Struthio camelus: one gene and its partner. The protein of the gene in region 2 purifies or fractionates together with the protein of the main gene of each other region. This does not show direct contact. Links are inferred from orthologs where the notes say so. Each region holds a gene or a part of one and is shown on either strand. Other genes may lie near its edges.

The links. Proteins that work in one complex are often made in the same cells at the same time.
Region 1: the proteins of FAM98A (region 2) and ATXN2L purify together in Homo sapiens (co-immunoprecipitation; 3 studies listed by BioGRID and IntAct, with this or other methods). This does not show direct contact. The link is inferred for Struthio camelus from reciprocal best matches to the Homo sapiens genes FAM98A and ATXN2L.

The regions. Positions count from the first base shown.
Region 1 is NC_090973.1:100,276-108,176, reverse strand, and holds the start of ATXN2L (ataxin-2-like protein), read right to left. Parts: upstream 3,006-7,901; coding exon 2,982-3,005; intron 2,372-2,981; coding exon 2,229-2,371; intron 1,544-2,228; coding exon 1,507-1,543; intron 1,410-1,506; coding exon 1,353-1,409; intron 1,232-1,352; coding exon 1,160-1,231; intron 1,072-1,159; coding exon 921-1,071; intron 837-920; coding exon 712-836; intron 637-711; coding exon 545-636; intron 444-544; coding exon 240-443; intron 155-239; coding exon 1-154. Other genes in the region: SH2B1 (SH2B adapter protein 1), read left to right, coding at 5,160-6,023, 6,170-6,271, 6,371-6,462, 6,676-6,782, 6,854-7,060, 7,645-7,862. UniProt on the Homo sapiens protein: Involved in the regulation of stress granule and P-body formation.
Region 2 is NC_090944.1:103,512,711-103,520,710, forward strand, and holds the start of FAM98A (protein FAM98A), read right to left. Parts: upstream 3,005-8,000; 5' UTR 2,816-3,004; intron 2,558-2,815; 5' UTR 2,522-2,557; coding exon 2,469-2,521; intron 1-2,468. UniProt on the Homo sapiens protein: Positively stimulates PRMT1-induced protein arginine methylation. Involved in skeletal homeostasis. Positively regulates lysosome peripheral distribution and ruffled border formation in osteoclasts.

The DNA.
Region 1 (7,901 bases), on a different chromosome or scaffold from region 2:
GCCGCGTTGCTCCGGGCCGGGTTCGGCGTGGTGGGGGGCGCCCCGAGGCGGGAGGGAGCCCACCCCGGGCCGCCCGCCGCGGGAGGAGCCGCAGCGCACGCCGCCGCGCGACCCGTCCCGCACGCGCTGCGGCAGCGGGTTGTACTTGCTCTCCCTGCGGAGAGAGGCGAGGGGCGCTCAGAGGGGCTGGGGGCGCTCGGAGGGGCCGGGGGGCGCTCGGAGGGGCCGGGGGGGCCGACCTGGCGGCGGCCAGGCTGGGGCTGTCGCGGCCGGAGCCCTGGCGCTGCACCGAGCTGTGCTTCTCCTCCTCCGTGCGCCCGTCGTCGTTCTCCATGGCGATGCGGAGCCGGTACTGCGGGCTCGACTCGATCTCCCGCGCCAGCTGGGCCGCCCGGGCCTCCCGCTGCCGAAACTCCTCCGAGTTGTCCTTCTCCAGCGGCACCCTGCGGGGGGGGGCCCGCGCGGCGTCAGCCCGGCCAGGGGCTCCCCGCGGCGGCGGCCGGACCCCCTGCTCCCCCCGCCCCGGCCCTGCCGGCGCGCTCACGTGTAGGAGGAGAGGCTGCTGTCGTAGGTGGTCTTCACGCCGTAGGTCTCCTCGTTGAACTTGAACATCTCGTTGGGGTCCCAGCCGTTGGACTGCGGGAGGAGAGGGCTCAGAGGCCGCCCGCGCCGCTCGCCGCCCCCGCCCCGGCCCCCGCCCCGGCCCCTCACCATGTCCGAATCCAGGTCGTAGTCGTCGCTGTTGCTGTCGCCCCCCTCCCAGCGCTGCAGCACCTTCTCCTTGTGCTCCCCGTTCACCTTCGAGTTCATGGCGATGGCCGAGTCGGTGAACTTGTCTGCAGGGGGGGCGGGGGTGAGGCCTGGCCGTCGCCCGCCCCCCCCCCCCCCCAACGCGGCTCTACCGCCCCCTCCCCGCGCACCTTTCGTGGCGTAGTTGAAGTCCACGTTGCGGAAGTGCACCAGCATGACGTCGGCGGGTTTGAAGACCATGGTGTCCACGATGTCCTCGCGCTTGGGGCCGGAGGGCTGGTCGGGGTTGCGCCGGTGCACGGCGTCCACCGCCAGCTCGAACTGCGGGGACGGACGGACGGACGGGCGGGCGTCACGGCGGGGCCGGGGGCGTCAGCCCGAGGCCGGGGCCGCCGCTGCCCGCACTCACCTTGGAGCTCAGCGTCTTGAAGATGCCCTCGAAGGTGCTGCCGTTCTTCACCTTGACGTCGCAGGTGGAGCCCTGGGCGGGAGAGGGGGAGGCGATGGACCGCGGCCCGGCCCGGGCGCCCCCCAGCACCGCAGCTGCCCCCCCCAGCGCCGGGACCGCCCCCCCCAGCGCCGGAGCCGCCCCGCGGACTCACCACCACGGCCGTCAGGAAGTGCAGCATGCGGGAGTTGTTGTAGACGCCCTCGAAGACCTGCGGGGAGGGGGGCGGAGGGGTGAGGGGCTCCCCCAAACCAGCGGCCCCCGCGCCGCCGCCGCCCCCCCCCGCCCCGAGCTCGCTGGTCACTTACCGGCGCCTGGGGGGGCCCCTTCCCCGTGCTCTGGCCCCTGAAACGCAAATGAGGGATGTGCCGGGTCCCCGCAGCCCAGTGGGGCCGGGGGGGTGCAGCCTCCGGGACCGCGGCGCGGGCGGAGCCCGGACACTTGGGTCCCTGGTCCCAGTGATGGGGGGGCCCGGACACCTGGGTCCCTGGTCCCAGTGATGGGGGGGCCCGGACACCTGGGTCCCACTGATGGGGGGGCCCGGACACCTGGGTCCCTCTGATGGGGGGGGCAGACAGCTAGGCCCCTGGTCCCACTGATGGGGGGGTCTGGATACCTGGGTGCCACTGATGGGGGGGGAGTCCTGGACACCTGGGTCCTTGGTCTCCCTGATGGGGGGGGGCCCGGACACCTGGGTCCCTGGTCTCCCTGATGGGGGGGGCCCGGACACCGGGGTCCCCCTGATGGGGGGGGGCCCGGACACCTGGGTCCCTGGTCCCCCTGATGGGGGGGGGGCACACTGGCACTTGTGGCCCACCGGACACCTGGGCCCCTTCCACCCCCTTGGGGGAGGCCGCGGCGGGGGGGGGGGGGCGGGGGCGTCCACCCCCCCACGTGCCCCTTCCCCCCGCCCTGATTGGCCGCGCCGCCGGCCAATCAGCGCCGGGCTCCCTCCTTTCCCCCCTCCCAACCCCTCCAACCCCCCCCTCCAACCCCCCCCTTTCCCGGCCCGGCAGGACCCGGATGTTACCTGGTGCCGCCGCTTCCTCCGGCGCCTCCCCCCCCCCCCGCCGCGCCGCCGCGGGCCGCTCCGCCGCCGGGGCTGAGGCTGCCGTTAGGGCTGGCGGCGGCGGCGGCGGCGGCGGGGGGAGGCGGCGGCGGCGGCGGCGGGGCCTTGCGGGCGGCGGGCGGCGGCGCCGCGGCGGCGGCGGGGGGCTGCGGGGGCAGCGGCTGCGGCTGCTTCAACATGGCGGCGGCGGCGGCGGCGGCGCGGCGTCTCCCTCCCCCCCCGCCCGGGGGCGCGCGCGGGGCGGCGGCGGCGGGTGGCGGCGGCGGGTGGCGGCGGCGGCGGCGCGCGCGGAGCCGGGCGCGGCGGAGCCGACCGGGGAGGGGAGGGGAGGGGAGGGGGGGCCGGGGCGCCGGCGGCCGCAGCGCGCGCGCCTCCCCTCGCGCCCTGTGTCCCTCCGCACAATGGGCGGGGAGACACCGCGCATGCGCGCCGCGCCGGCTTTTCCCTCTTTTTCTTTTTTTTTAATAATAACCCTTCCCCGGCCTCTTTCGCTTTTTGCTCACGTGACGGCGGAGGAAACGCCCCCCCCCCTTCCAGCACCGGCTTCGCTCCACGCGCGTTTCCTCCGCCGGCAGGGAAAAAAAAAAAAAAAAAAAAGTAGTCCCCCCTCCCCTCCCGCCGCGCATGCGCGCCGCCGCCACAAAGGGCGCCGCTCCCGCCCCCTCCGCGCTGCGCATGCGCGGCCGAGGCTACCCGCCTGCCTTCCCCCCCAACCCGCAAAATCCGGCGGCCGCGCATGCGCGCGCCGAAGGGGGTGGGGGGGTGGGGCGCATGCGCAGTGCGTCGCCTCTCCTCGCGGCCGGGTTGGGGGGGGCGGAGGGGCACGTGAGGACACGGGCGCCTCCAGTGAGATCCCTCCGCCGGCCGCATCACAGCGGGGGGGGGGCGCGGGAACGAGTCCCGGCTCCTGCCTCAACCCCGCCGCCCCCCCTTTCCCCCCCCGGCGACTGTCGCCTCTCAGGTACCGGCGGGAAGAGAGGGTGTTGTATGTCGTCGTCCCCCCCCGCGCGGTGGGGTGACCGGGGTCTCCATGGCGACCCCCAGCGCTCGGGGTGGGGGGGGCGCTCTGGCCCCGCCCGCCGCTCCGCGCTAGAGTTTACGTCTCACGCAGGGCGACGCTCTAGTCCTCCACGCGCTGGCTCTATGGTGTTTACGTTAGTACGGAGCGGGGGCTCGATAGCCTCGCCTCTCTATGGTGGCAGCGGGCGGCTGAGACAGTCTAGGCGTGGAAGAAGCCGAACTGGCTCTCTATGGCTCTCTGGGGGCCCTCTGCCTGCCTCCGTCTTCTCAGCTTTATGGTTCTCCTAGAGCCGCTCTAGTTACCCTCAGCCTTCTGCTCTATGATCAGCGGGAGCAAGAGGCGCCGCCATCCCGTCTCTATGGTGAGCAGCCGGGGGAGGGGGGGGAGGGGGCGCTCTGGTCTCCTCGCCCTCTCTACGCTCCGGCGAAGAAGGAGGGGGGACGCTCTGCACCGACTTGCCCCACCTCGATGCTCCCGGGGCGGCCGCTCCGGTCAGTGCTGCCCCCTCCCCACGGTCACTTGGGGGCGCTCCGACCCCCCCGCGCCACCTCGGGAGGCGGAAGCGGAAGAGCGGCGAGACCCGGAAGCGGAAGCCGCCGGGTGTGTGGGGGGGAGGTTGGGTCGGGCCGCCCCCGCCCCTCCCCCCCGCCCCGTTCGCACTCGGGACCAGCGACGCGGAGCCGGGGCGGGGCGGGGCCGCCATGGTCAGCACCGGGGCCGGGGGGGCCGGGGGCGGCCCTGCGGGGGACCCAGAGGGGTCTGGGGGGCCGAGCCGGGGGGCCGGGGGTGGCTGTGGGGGGTCCCGGGGGGGCCTGAGGGGCAGATGTGGGGGCTGTGGGGGGTCCCCGAGGGGCCTGCGGGGAAGATGTGGGGTCTGGGGGGGGTCTGAGATGACTGTGGGGGGTCCCGGGGGGCCTGGGGGGGCAGATGTGGGGGCTGTGGGGGGTCCCCGAGGGGCCTGCGGGGAAGATGTGGGGTTTGTGGGGGGCTGAGAGTGGCTGTGTGGGGTCCCAGAGAGGCCTGTGGGGCAGATGTGCGGTCTGTGGGGGGTCTGAGATGGCTGTGTGGGGTCCCCGAGGGGCCTGGGGGGGCAGATGTGGGGGCTGTGGGGGCCAGGGGTGGCTGTATGGGATCCCCGAGGGGCCTGTGGGGCAGATGTGGGGTCTGTGGGGGGTCTGAGATGGCTGTAGGGGGTCTGTGAGAGGCCTGTGGGGCAGATGTGGGGTCTGTGGGGGGCCAGGGGTGGCTGTGTGGGGTCCCCAAGGGGCCTGTGGGGCAGATGTGGGGTCTGTGGGGGGTCTGAGATGGCTGTAGGGGGTCTGTGAGAGGCCTGTGGGGCAGATGTGGGGTCTGGGGGGGGTCTGAGATGGCTGTGTGGGTCCCAGAGGGGCCTGTGGGGTAGATGTGGGGATTTGTGCGGGGCCAAGAGCTGCCCTGCAGGGTCACGAAAGGACAGGAAGGGTCTGGGGGGCAGATTTGGGGAGTCAGGGACGTCCTTATGGGGTCCTGGGCAGAGCATAGAGGATCGGGGTGGTCCTGCGGGGTCCTGGATGGAGGATGAAGGGTCTGGGGGGCAGATCCGGGGGCTCCAGGGGGTCAGGGCCATCCTTATGGGGTGCTGGGTAGAGGATGAGGGCTCTGGGGGGGAGATTGAGGGACTTTGGGAGGCCGGGAACGGCTCCCGGAGAGCCCGGAGCGGTGCCAGCGGGAGGAGGAGGAGGAGGAGGAAGCTCCGGCGGTCCCGGGCCGACCGCCCCGTCTCTGTCTCCGCAGGTGAGGACGAGCGCGGCCGCCGGGGCAGCAGCGGCGTCCGCAGCGCGTTGGGGCCGCGGGACGCGGGGGCGCCCGGGCCCCCCGGGGCCGCCGGCGGCATGAACGGCAGCGCGGGGGCCGGCGGCGGCGGCGGGGGGGGGACGCCCCCGCCCTGCCCGCCGGCTCCCCCGGGCTGGCGGGACTTCTGCGAGACCCACGCTCGCGCGGCCGCCCGGGACTTCGCCCGCCGCTTCCGGGCCTTCGTCAGCGACAACCCGCAGTTCGGGGCGCCGGGGGCCGAAGCCGCCTTCTCCCGCCGCTTCGCCGAGCACTTCGTGGAGCACTTCGAGGCCGAGGTGACGCGAGCCTGCGCCGGCGGGGACGCCTCGCCGCCCCGCTGCGCCATCGCCCCCTTCACGGGCGCCCACCGCCCCCGGGACGTCTCGGAGACCTGCAGCGAGTCGTCGGTGGCCTCGCCGCTGGAGCCCGCCGCCGCCGCCGTCGCCGCCCCGGGGCTGCCGGGGGGCCAGTCGCGCAGCTCCGAGGACGTGGCCGCCGCCGCCGCCGGCTCCAAGGCCAAGCTGCGCAAGCGCTTCTCCCTGCGCAGCGTGGGCCGCAGCGTCCGCGGCATCCTGCAGTGGCGCGGCGCGGCCGAGCCGCCGGCCGCCGGCCGCGAGCCGCCCGCCGCCGGCGCCAACACCAACTCCAACTCGTCCGGCGGCGCCGGCGATGCCGCCCCGGCCGCCGGCGAGCGCTGGGCCCAGCGCTTGGAGCGCCTGCGCCTCGGCCGAGCCCCCGGCGCCCGGGCCGAGCCCTGCAGCGTCCGGCGCGAGGGCCTGCTCAACTTCATCGTGGCGGACGACGGCGGGCCCGGGGCGGGCGCGGGGGGCCGTGCCCGCTGGCAGCGGTGCCGCCTGCTGCTCAGGAAGGCCGGGAAAGGCGACGGGGACGGCTACGCCCTGGAGTTTTACGTCCCGCCGAAGGTGGGCTCGGGCGGCGGCGGAGGGGGGCAGCGCCGGGATCCGCTCTCCGCCGTCCCCGAGGAGCGACGGGGAAGGGCTCGGGGACGCGGAGGCGAGGGGAACCGGAGCCCCTGGCGTCCCCCGTCACCTCGCCCCGTCCCCAACAGGCCACCAAGGCTCGCGTCAGCATCCTGTGCTCGGCGGTGACGGCCGTGCGCACCACCACGCCGCTGGAGATGCCCGACAAGGAGAACACGTTCGTCCTGAAGGTGCCGGTGGCGGCGGGGGGGGGGTGAGGCGAGGGGGGCCGCGGTGGCAGCAAGCGCTGACCCCCCCCCTTCCTCCTCCTCCTCCTCGCGCTCCGCCAGATGGAGAACTCGCTCGAGTACATCCTGGAGACGGTCGACTCGCTGCAGATGAAGTCGTGGCTGGCCGACATCCAGGACTGCATGAGCCCGGGGTGAGCCCCGCGTGCCCCCCCTCCGCGCCCCGGGCCGCCTCCTTTGCCCCCCATCCCGGCGGCCCCTTTCGCCCGCACTCGCCTCTCTTCCCTCTGCTGCCCCCTCCCCGCCCTCGGCAGCGCTGGCGCGGGTCCCCCCCCCCCAACCCTGTCCCCTCGCCCCGGGGACGGGGCCACGAGCGCTCGTCCCCCCCTCCGGCCCGTGTCCCGCAGGGAGGAGGCGGAGAGCCCGGCCGCCCCGTGCCTGAACCACTCGGAGAGCGTGCCCAGCCGGGAGCTGCCCCTGCTGCCCGGCGAGAGCAGCGAGCACCTGGCGCAGGGTGAGTCCCGGCGCCCTGCGCCCCGGCCCGGCGCCCCCGGCCGGCTCTGACGGCCTCCCCGCCGCCCCCAGGCGCCTACGGCGGGCTCTCCGAGCGCCCCTCGGCCTCCGTGTCGCCCAGCTCCGTCTCCATCGCCGCCTCCCACTTCGACTCCATGGAGATGCTGCCGCCGGAGCTGCCCCCCCGGATCCCCATCGAGGAGGCGGCCGAGCGGCTCCAGGCCCCCTTCCCCCCCGGGCTGCTGCACACCCCCTTCCCCGACACCCCCGACGGCGCAGGTGCGGGGGGACGGGGCACCGCGCTGGGGGTCTCGGGGAGGGTTTGGGGTGTCGGGGTTGGTGCTGGGGGTCTGGGGAGGGTTTGGGGTGTCGGGGTCAGTGCTGGGGGTCTTGGGGAGGGTTTGGGGCATCGGGGTTGGCACTGGGGGTCTGGCGAAGGATTTGGGATGTCGGGGTTGGCACTGGGGGTCTGGCGAAGGATTTGGGATGTCGGGGTTGGCGCTGGGGGTGTTTGGGGAGGGTTTGGGGTGTCAAGGTCAGTGCTGGGGCTCTGCAGGAGGGTTTGGGGTGTCGGGGTCGGCGCTGGGGGTGTTTGGGGAGGGTTTGGGGTGTCGGGGTTGGCACTGGGGGTCTGGCGAAGGATTTGGGATGTCGGGGTTGGTGCTGGGGGTGTCTGGGCAGGGTTTGGGGTGTCAGGGCTGGCATTGGGGGTGTTTGGGGAGGGTTTGGGGTGTCGGGGCTGGCATTGGGGGTGTTTGGGGAGGGTTTGGGGTGTCGGGGTCGGCGCTGGGGCTCTGTAGGGTGGTTTTTAGGGCTCCCTCTTTCCGCCTTGGTCTCTCTGATGCTCTCCGTGCCCTCGGCAGGCTCCTTCCTCTTCCAGGCGGAGGCGGAGGCGGGCGAGGGGGACCCCGAGCACCCGCTCTCCGAGTACCCCTGGTTCCACGGCACCCTCTCGCGGCTGAAGGCGGCCCAGCTGGTGCTGGCGGGGGGCACCAGCAGCCACGGCGTCTTCCTGGTGCGGCAGAGCGAGACGCGCCGGGGCGAGTACGTCCTCACCTTCAACTTCCAGGGCAAGGCCAAGGTGAGGGAGCGGCGGGGGGCGGGCGGGGGGCCGGGGCCG
Region 2 (8,000 bases):
GCATGATTCTACAGAACTGATTTTAAAAGATGTAGTTTTCAGGACGTCTGTGTACCTTGCTGGGGGGAAGAGGAGGGTGAAGAGGAGGGAGAAACAGCCTTATTACCCAGGCAGAGGAACAAAGTTAGAGCTTACCAGAGTATAAAATCCACAATATCACTTTTGCGTACCGCACTCAAAACAGAAGGACATCCAAGAGTGAGTATAATCAACTGAAATTGCTATTTCAAGTTTCCACTGTAAAGTTACCCATTAAGTCACAGCGACCCAGTGAGTTCAGTCAACTCTTGGCCAATCTCCGAAGCAACAAATCTCTCAAAGAGTAAAATAATATGTTATTTTTCCATACTTTATTCTTTTGATTAACATTACATATAAAGGGTTTCTCTTCACTGTAATAGCTTCACCCAACCAAAATGAAGAAGCCATACTCCAAGTAACTTTTACTCCAAAGAGCAGCTTGATTAATGATACGGAGCTGATGGGAAGTTATAATTTGATCTACTTCAGCCCCACCGCATTACCACAGTGAGCCAGATGCAATTCCAACAGGCTACTTAGAGTAAGCTTAAGTCCCACCGCACAGACTCATCAGACTTACACGTGTATAGGAACACACAAGACTCAAAATAGAAACATCAAGTTATAGCTCTAAGCAGAGCTGACGACAAGCCTTTTGCTTTGGCAGGATCTGGATTTAAGTTGCTCGTCATGTTAGAGGCTCCTTCTCTGAAATTTTTCTTTGATAGATATGACATCTTAACTATATTATTTCCGATAACCATGATTCAACTATACAGCTATTCAGCCAGTAATCCAACTTGCAGCTTCCTCGCCAGCCTTTTTCTTCTAAAGCACTTTAAAAGCTTTCAGGCCCATGCTTCCATTCCTCCCCCTCTCCCACAGTGTACGTTCTCGAGCTACGTTCTCCTTCAGTAGCGTTTTGATATCGGATTTGTTTGCTTTTTCAATAGTTCAAACTGACTTAAAAGGGAAGAGGCCACTGTTTGAGCAGTTCTCACACAACTTCAAGAACAAACAAACAATTTTATGATGTGCAATGCTATTAAACAAAAATCAAGCAATAAAGTAAGTCTTCAGCATTTAGTTAGAAAAAAAATATGTTGAACTTCAAAGGATAATGGAATTATTGTCAAAGCTTAAAAACCCCAAGCCCCCAAGCTTGTACAAACACAAGGAAACTAACAGAAATCTTTTAGTTGCATGCATGTAGCAGTCTTCCAGGTTGTTCCTGTTACTGCTGAAGTCCTGTCTTTTGCTCCCCAAATTTTCTTTACAAACACTGCTGCCAATATCACCACTGATATCACTGACTTACTTTTTACTCCATTTGGCTTGTTCGCTTTATTTTAATATGTCAAGAATCAACAGCAAGAGTTTCTAATCACTTCTGTGATTACTACACAAATCATAACTCCTTCAAGTCAGTAATATCCTTTCAAACATGTGGCAGGAAAAAAAAGCAGAAGTTTACGGTATTTGCAACATGAGAGAGACCTTTTCACATTTCAGTCAAACAAATACCTGCAAAAACAGTAGCCTATTTGTCAAGCATTGGAGCTATCATCACCAACTTAGCCTGGAAACATAATCTTTGTGGCTAGAGTCATTATGCTCCAACAAAGTGATTTACGGGAATGCAGCCAATGTGAGAAAATACAGCTGTTTGCACAGAACCAGCAGCAGTAAAATTGCAACGGCCTCTTTTCTGAGCCCTCAACAGTTTACAGGCAGACAAGCTTACACTACGACAATGTTCCGCTTGCTTTCTCGCATATTTTTTACAACCTCTGCTGACTCTGACAGAGTAGCAGGATTAAACAACACAAGTTTCTTGCATTACATTCTAAAAAAAAGCAGCTAAAGGGAAAATACTACGTCATTTATTTTTTTTTTTTACCAATTTTTTTTTTTCCACAAGAACTGAAGCCCAAACGCTTTCCCCTCCCCTCACTTCTCCGACAAGGTTTCTCTCCTCGTTCCCCACCTCCAGCCAGGAGAGCTCTACTGACAGGAAGGGCATCACCAGAGTCTGGGCAACCAACACTCACCACGGGGGCAAAAACTCTGCAAAGACGTTGCGGCTAAAAGCAGCCTGCTTGGCTTCGCGCGTTTCCTTACGCCAAAGCGACACTACCCACGGGTGGTTTTAGGGCCGGCCCCCCCCGAGGTGGTCATGAGGAAAGGGATATTGCCGGGGCTGAAGCCGGGGAGCCCCGGCTGCGGCTCTGCCCGGCATCGCAGCGCCGGGGGGATGCGAGCCCCGCTTCCCTGCCCGCCCCCCCCGCCGCCGGCGGGCAGCCGCGCTCCCCTGACGGGGGCCCCTTGCCGGGGGCCATCACCCGCCAACCGCGCCACCTCCCCCCGGCCCAGCCGACGGCGGCGCCGGGGCAAGGCAAGGCCCGGGGCCAGGGCGGTGCTCAAGCCCCCGGCGCCGCGGCACCTACCCCAGATCCTCCAGCGACTCCAGCACGTCGCTCTCCAGCAGCTCGAACTCCATCCTGCGGCGGGGACCGGGGAGGGGGGGGGGGGAAACCTGCGTGAGAGCCGGCACTCAGCGCCCCGCCACCCGCAGGCCCCGCCGCCCCCGCCTCTCCCCATGGCGGGGGAAGAGGGGGGCTCGACCGTTACCCCCTCCCCCACCGAACCCCCCCCCGCCCGCCCGCCCGCCCGCCGGCGCGCGCCTGCTCCCGCCCTGCCCCCCGCGCCGCGTTCCCCCCCCCCCCCCCGCCGCCGCCGCCGCCGCCGCCGCCGCCGCCGCCGCCGCCGCCGCCGCCCGCCGGCCCCCACGTACACTGCCCGCGCGCTGCTACGCCGCCGACTGCCGGGTTGGCATGTCAGGGTGGGGGAGGGAGCAGGTCCCCGGCATGACCCTTCACCCGGCTCCCAGAGGGCTGCCCGAGCGCGCTGCCTGATCGGTCTGGCCTGCTTCTGCCGCACTTCCTGCCTCCCCGCCGCACCAGGCCGCGTTGCCAAACGAGACGAAGACGTCCAGGCGGGCGCCTAAGTGTTTTGAGGGACGGAAGCCGGAGGCGAGCGAAGGATCCCATGTTTCTGTTCAGGCGGCGCTGCGGGCAGTCCCTGAGAAAGGACCCCCCCTCCCTCCCGTAGAACCCACGCTGGAATGTGCTGGTGTGAGCCGTAGAGCCCATAAGGGTAGAAAAGGAGAAGGAGACGGGGCGGGAGAAGGGTCAAATTACATCAGTGACGGAACGCTTCTCCGCCTATGAGGTCCCCCGCGGCAGCATGGGGACTACAAATCCCAGCATACAACGCTCCTCGTGGCCTTCGCGGCCGCCGTAGGGTGGCGCGGCGCCTCCTGTTTTCCTGTGGGGCGCGGGTTTCCTTGCGGCGCCATGTCGTCGGTGGCCGCAGGGTTTTGGCCGCTGCCGTGCGGGGGAGGGGGGTTGCCGTCCCTTTGGAGCTGGGGCCGGTGGCCGAGGTTTAGGGAGGAGGCGGCCCGCAGAGCTAAGAGCCGGTGGGGTGGGCCCCGGTGTGCCAGGGAAGGCTGGGGCCTTCGGCACTGGGGGGGAGGCCCGGACGGTGGGGCAGGGGCTCGTGGTAGAAAGTGCGGCTGTGGCAGGAAAAGATGAAGCTGCTGCTAGTGCGGGTCTGCTTCGTCTCTCGGCAGGTTTGCGGGGGCCAGGGCAGGCTGTGCCTTGGCAGGTGCCGGCTGCGGCCATGTGCCGCTGTCCTAGAAGTAACCTGGTTGTTGAAGATGCTAAAGCAGTGCTGGCTGGAACAGAGTCTGCCTGACTTTATGCTAATAGTACGACTCCTTAAGGTTGTGAGCTGGCAGCTTTCTTAAGTCTTCCTTTGCCTGGGGGGAAAGGAAGTTGCTGAACACTGTGCAGTTCCCCCAGCTGCTTAGTTGCCAGCATGCTCTGAAGGGAAAGCCATGCAAATGGATAAAGATGCAGCGTTTGTAATAGAAAGCTCAGATGTGGGCTAGGGCATAATTTTGCCTGGTCTTTCTGGTTCTTCTTGTCAGTATTACCATATTGCCTGGGACACAGCGGTTCCACAGAAAGCACGTCAGCGCTAAAAGGGAAGCGTGCGTGGGAGAGCACGTTGTGTTGTAAAGGCCAGGCCGTGTCAGTGAAAGCCAAGAGTGCCGACGCTGAAAATAACTCCAGCCCTTCAACAGCAGTGAGCTGATGTTCCAGCAGAGGATTTTTGGCTGCCTGCACTTCATGAAATCACCCTTGGCAAGCAAAAAGAAGAACTGTAGTCAAACAAGGAAGTAGCTTGTAGCCTCAAGATAGGTGAGAAGAAGGAACACGGTGCCTCAAAGGACTAGAAAGAAGTCATGCTTCACAAATAGGTGGTTCAGTTGTTGGCTTTGCCATTAAAAATAGGTCAGACTACTAGTTCAGGGGAAAATTACCTCCTAAAGACTAAGAACTGACATGTGAAAGGAATAATGCCGGCATTCCTGTTTCTTTGCCTGTTTACTTCTAGTTGTGTCATGGTTGGTAAAGAGTAACCATAGGCAATTTCAGTTTGAAAAATCAGATCATCTATTATGCTCATGGCAAGCTGTCTTATTACTGCTGGGCAAAACATGTCTGTAAGAATTTCCTGCTTTTACTTTAGTCCATTCATCCTGGATTTACTCAGAATATCTCAGATATTCAGTCTTGGAGCCCTGCCTGGATGAGCAGACCAAGCTGGGGTTTTTTTCCGTCTAAAGTTCAACACTGCAGTTGAAGCCTTGTGACACTTGTTAATAAAATGGTTGTGTTCAGCTTGCTTACACAATTGGATGTGCACAAAGCATAGTAGTTTTTCACGAGTGCTAATTACTCTTCCATTGCAATTGATGGCTTTCCACAGCTGCAGGCCAACTGATCCAAAGGGAATTTTTTTTTTTTTGCTGTCCTGTGATAACAGTGTACAGCAATCATTGTTTTGAGATGGAGAAAGCCCTTACGGTGTTCGAGATGGAGAAAGCCCTTAACGCTGTTAGCTGCTTTGGGCACTGCACAAATGTTGTTGCATCTGGAACTGGGGTGAGGTTGGGAAAGGTCTCTGCGGAGCCACATCTCTGTGCACCTCCCTTGTCCTGGAGTCTGCATGCAACTGGTAGGTGAGGGTGCTGAAACCAGGTGAGCCTCCTGAGCTCATCTCCTCCATCGGAAGTAGAGCTTTACTAGGAAGCTGGTAAAGCAATGTTAATTTTGTGGCCCAAATAACTAGAAGAGACTTTGCCCAAAACGTTGGTCATTCACAAGCCAAATATTCTTTAAGCGTGGGCTGGCTGCTGTTTGGCTAGCAATTTTGGCACAAATCCCAGCAGCTCATCTGCTGAGGACACTGTGGCTATGAGATCACGTGGACTCATGGGATGACTGAACAAGTATGTGGAAAAGAGATCTATTGATGGTTACTAAACTGAAAAATTACGTCAGTATCAGGAAATCCCAAGAGTTGAAAATAGCTGGGAGAATATATGGGCAGGGAAAAAGAGGGGAGTAATATATGTGTTTTTCCTGTTCTTACTCTTCTCAAAGCGTCTGCTTAGGGCCAGTGTTGGAAGTGCAATACTGGGCTAGGTGATACCCTGATTTCAGTTGGTGTGTCTGGTTTGTATATGCATCACTGTCCTATGAACTAACTAGCTACGTAGATACGGCTCATTTTGAGGGCACTACAAACAGTGTTTTTACTGGTTGAATACATTGTGGTCTTCTTAGTTTAACTGTACAATTGAGTGAGTTCCTCTGCCCCTATTTTTATGTTTTCCAAAGATGTGACTTTCCTGTCTTAACAGCAAGGCTACCTGTGAGGTGACAACTCCAGCATAATGTGTTTTTGCCATACTCCTTACAGAAGACAGAATTGGAAAGCATGTGTTTTGCAAATGTGCTGCAAGAACTTTATTTAACAAAACCGCTTTATGTCAGTGTACCTGCAAATTCACTTATCTCTGAGGAGTTTGCTCTGACTTAGTTCACCGTGGTCTTTTGGGCATAAGAAGAAACTAGTTTTGTACTAACTGCTTCACCTTCCATCTAATATTCCCCAGCAGCAAGTCCTGAACTCAAGAGAACGCTTCCGCTGACTTTGGCAGGGTCGTTTAGATCTATATTAGGAACAAACAGGGGGTAAGGGCCTGTTTATTTGTACTGCAATTCCAGGTCCAAAAAAAAAAAAAAAAAGTGCAAACTAATTCCGAACCTTTTCAGGCTGGCCCCTATTAAATGGGTGCTTAGAGAATTCTCCAGAATGTCAAACTTGCATGAAAAAAAATGCCTGAATAAAACAAGTGCTACGTAAAGAAAACTAGACTTCTGTACATGATCTGACAGCAAGACTTTTAGCTTGACTAAAAGCTGAGTAGACTGATTTGTTGACTTATCTCAACATCAGTGTTTCAGCCACAAGTATTTATGTCCCATGTCTCAGCTAAGGATAGCCGGCCAAGATCACTCATACAGCAATATCAATGTGCATGGATGGTGTTTCTCAGAAACAAATTAATCTTGCCCCAAACAGTTTGCTATTAAGCAATGAGATCCGTAGCTCTGCAAAACAGTTACTTCTGAGAGTAGCGTGGACTCAGGTTGTCAGCTCGCTCAAGAGCTGTAAGTGGGGTCGTTGATTTTTATGGGCTATCCAAAGGCTTCAGAAGACTTCTGCCTTATTCCAAAGAATTTTCAGGCTGCAGAACTGAGCTCAACTTGCCTTGCATTTTTCCCTTCCTGACTGAGGTTTGTTAGAGCTCCGCGCCTTCTCACCTTCACTCCGAGAGGTGTAGCTCTGGGAAGTCCGTGTAATCCTTAGGTGATTTAACTGCAGCCTGGAGCCATGTGTGGCCAGCTAGGCTGTGCCAGTGTGGGAAGAGTTACGGGGTAACAATTTTTATTTCCCCTATGGGAAGAACCAAACCAGCAGAGGCTGCTGCAGTCACATCCACTGTGACTGGACCCCTGTAAACTCCTCCTTGGCCCCCTCTTCCCCTTAGTCCTGGAACGATGTGGCATGCATACAGTGGCTCTTGGTCAGCTGCTCTCAGGATGTGAGGTGCAGGTCAAGGAAGCTGGCAGTCCCTGCATAGCCTGAGGCTGCACAGCAGCCAGGAACACTTAATCTGGAGAAGTGTGAAACGCTCCACTGATCTGATGCCAATTGTCATTTAACAGACACACAACTGGTTTCCTGTGGATTTGCCTGCTGTGACTGATTGGTTTTGGTGTCTAGGATGATGTGAGCTCTGACTGAAGATACAGGACTTTGTCCTGTGAGGATTCCCGAGCATCTAATAAAGTGTGAGCTGATGCAACCTCTTCTTCAGCTTTGCACCAAAAGGATTGGCCTTCAATGTGTAGGAGGCTTGTTAAACTCGCCTGGAATGGGTCATCCAGTTCAAAGACACGCACCTTGATAATTTAAGCCTCGCTTCCTTAGGAAACCTGGCTGAAGATGATGACATTAAGGTGGGCATTATTTCAATACAGCAAGATTATTTCACAGTATTAAAAAGTCCATTCATCTTTTCACAGTCATGTCTGTTTGCCCTGTGGTTGCCAAAAGCACCATGGTAGGGACATACTGAAATCTACAGTGGGTCAGACCAAGGTCTAGTTAGCCTAGTAGCCTGCTGGTAATATCTACTAAAACCAGATACGAAGGGAAGATTAAGAACAGGACAAGCATGTATGACATTCCTCCCAGCAGTTCTCTGCCAGCCTCAGACTGCTTTCAGCTCTTGGGACTTCTTCAATCTTTACTCCTCTTCTGTCAGGTCCTAGATTTTTTTCATCACCAGTCCTTCTGCTCTCCCAATGCCTTTTTCATTCTCCAGGGTTTGTGGGGGGATTTTTTTCCCTCCTCGTTCTCTTCAGGTCCCATTTCTGTCTTCAGTAGCCATTTGTCCACCCAGGGCTCTTAATTCTGTTACCAGTTGCATCACAATAGCAGGGTTGAGTCTATCCACAGCTGGGCTAGTCTCTGAAATGCAGTATTACCCCCCGCCC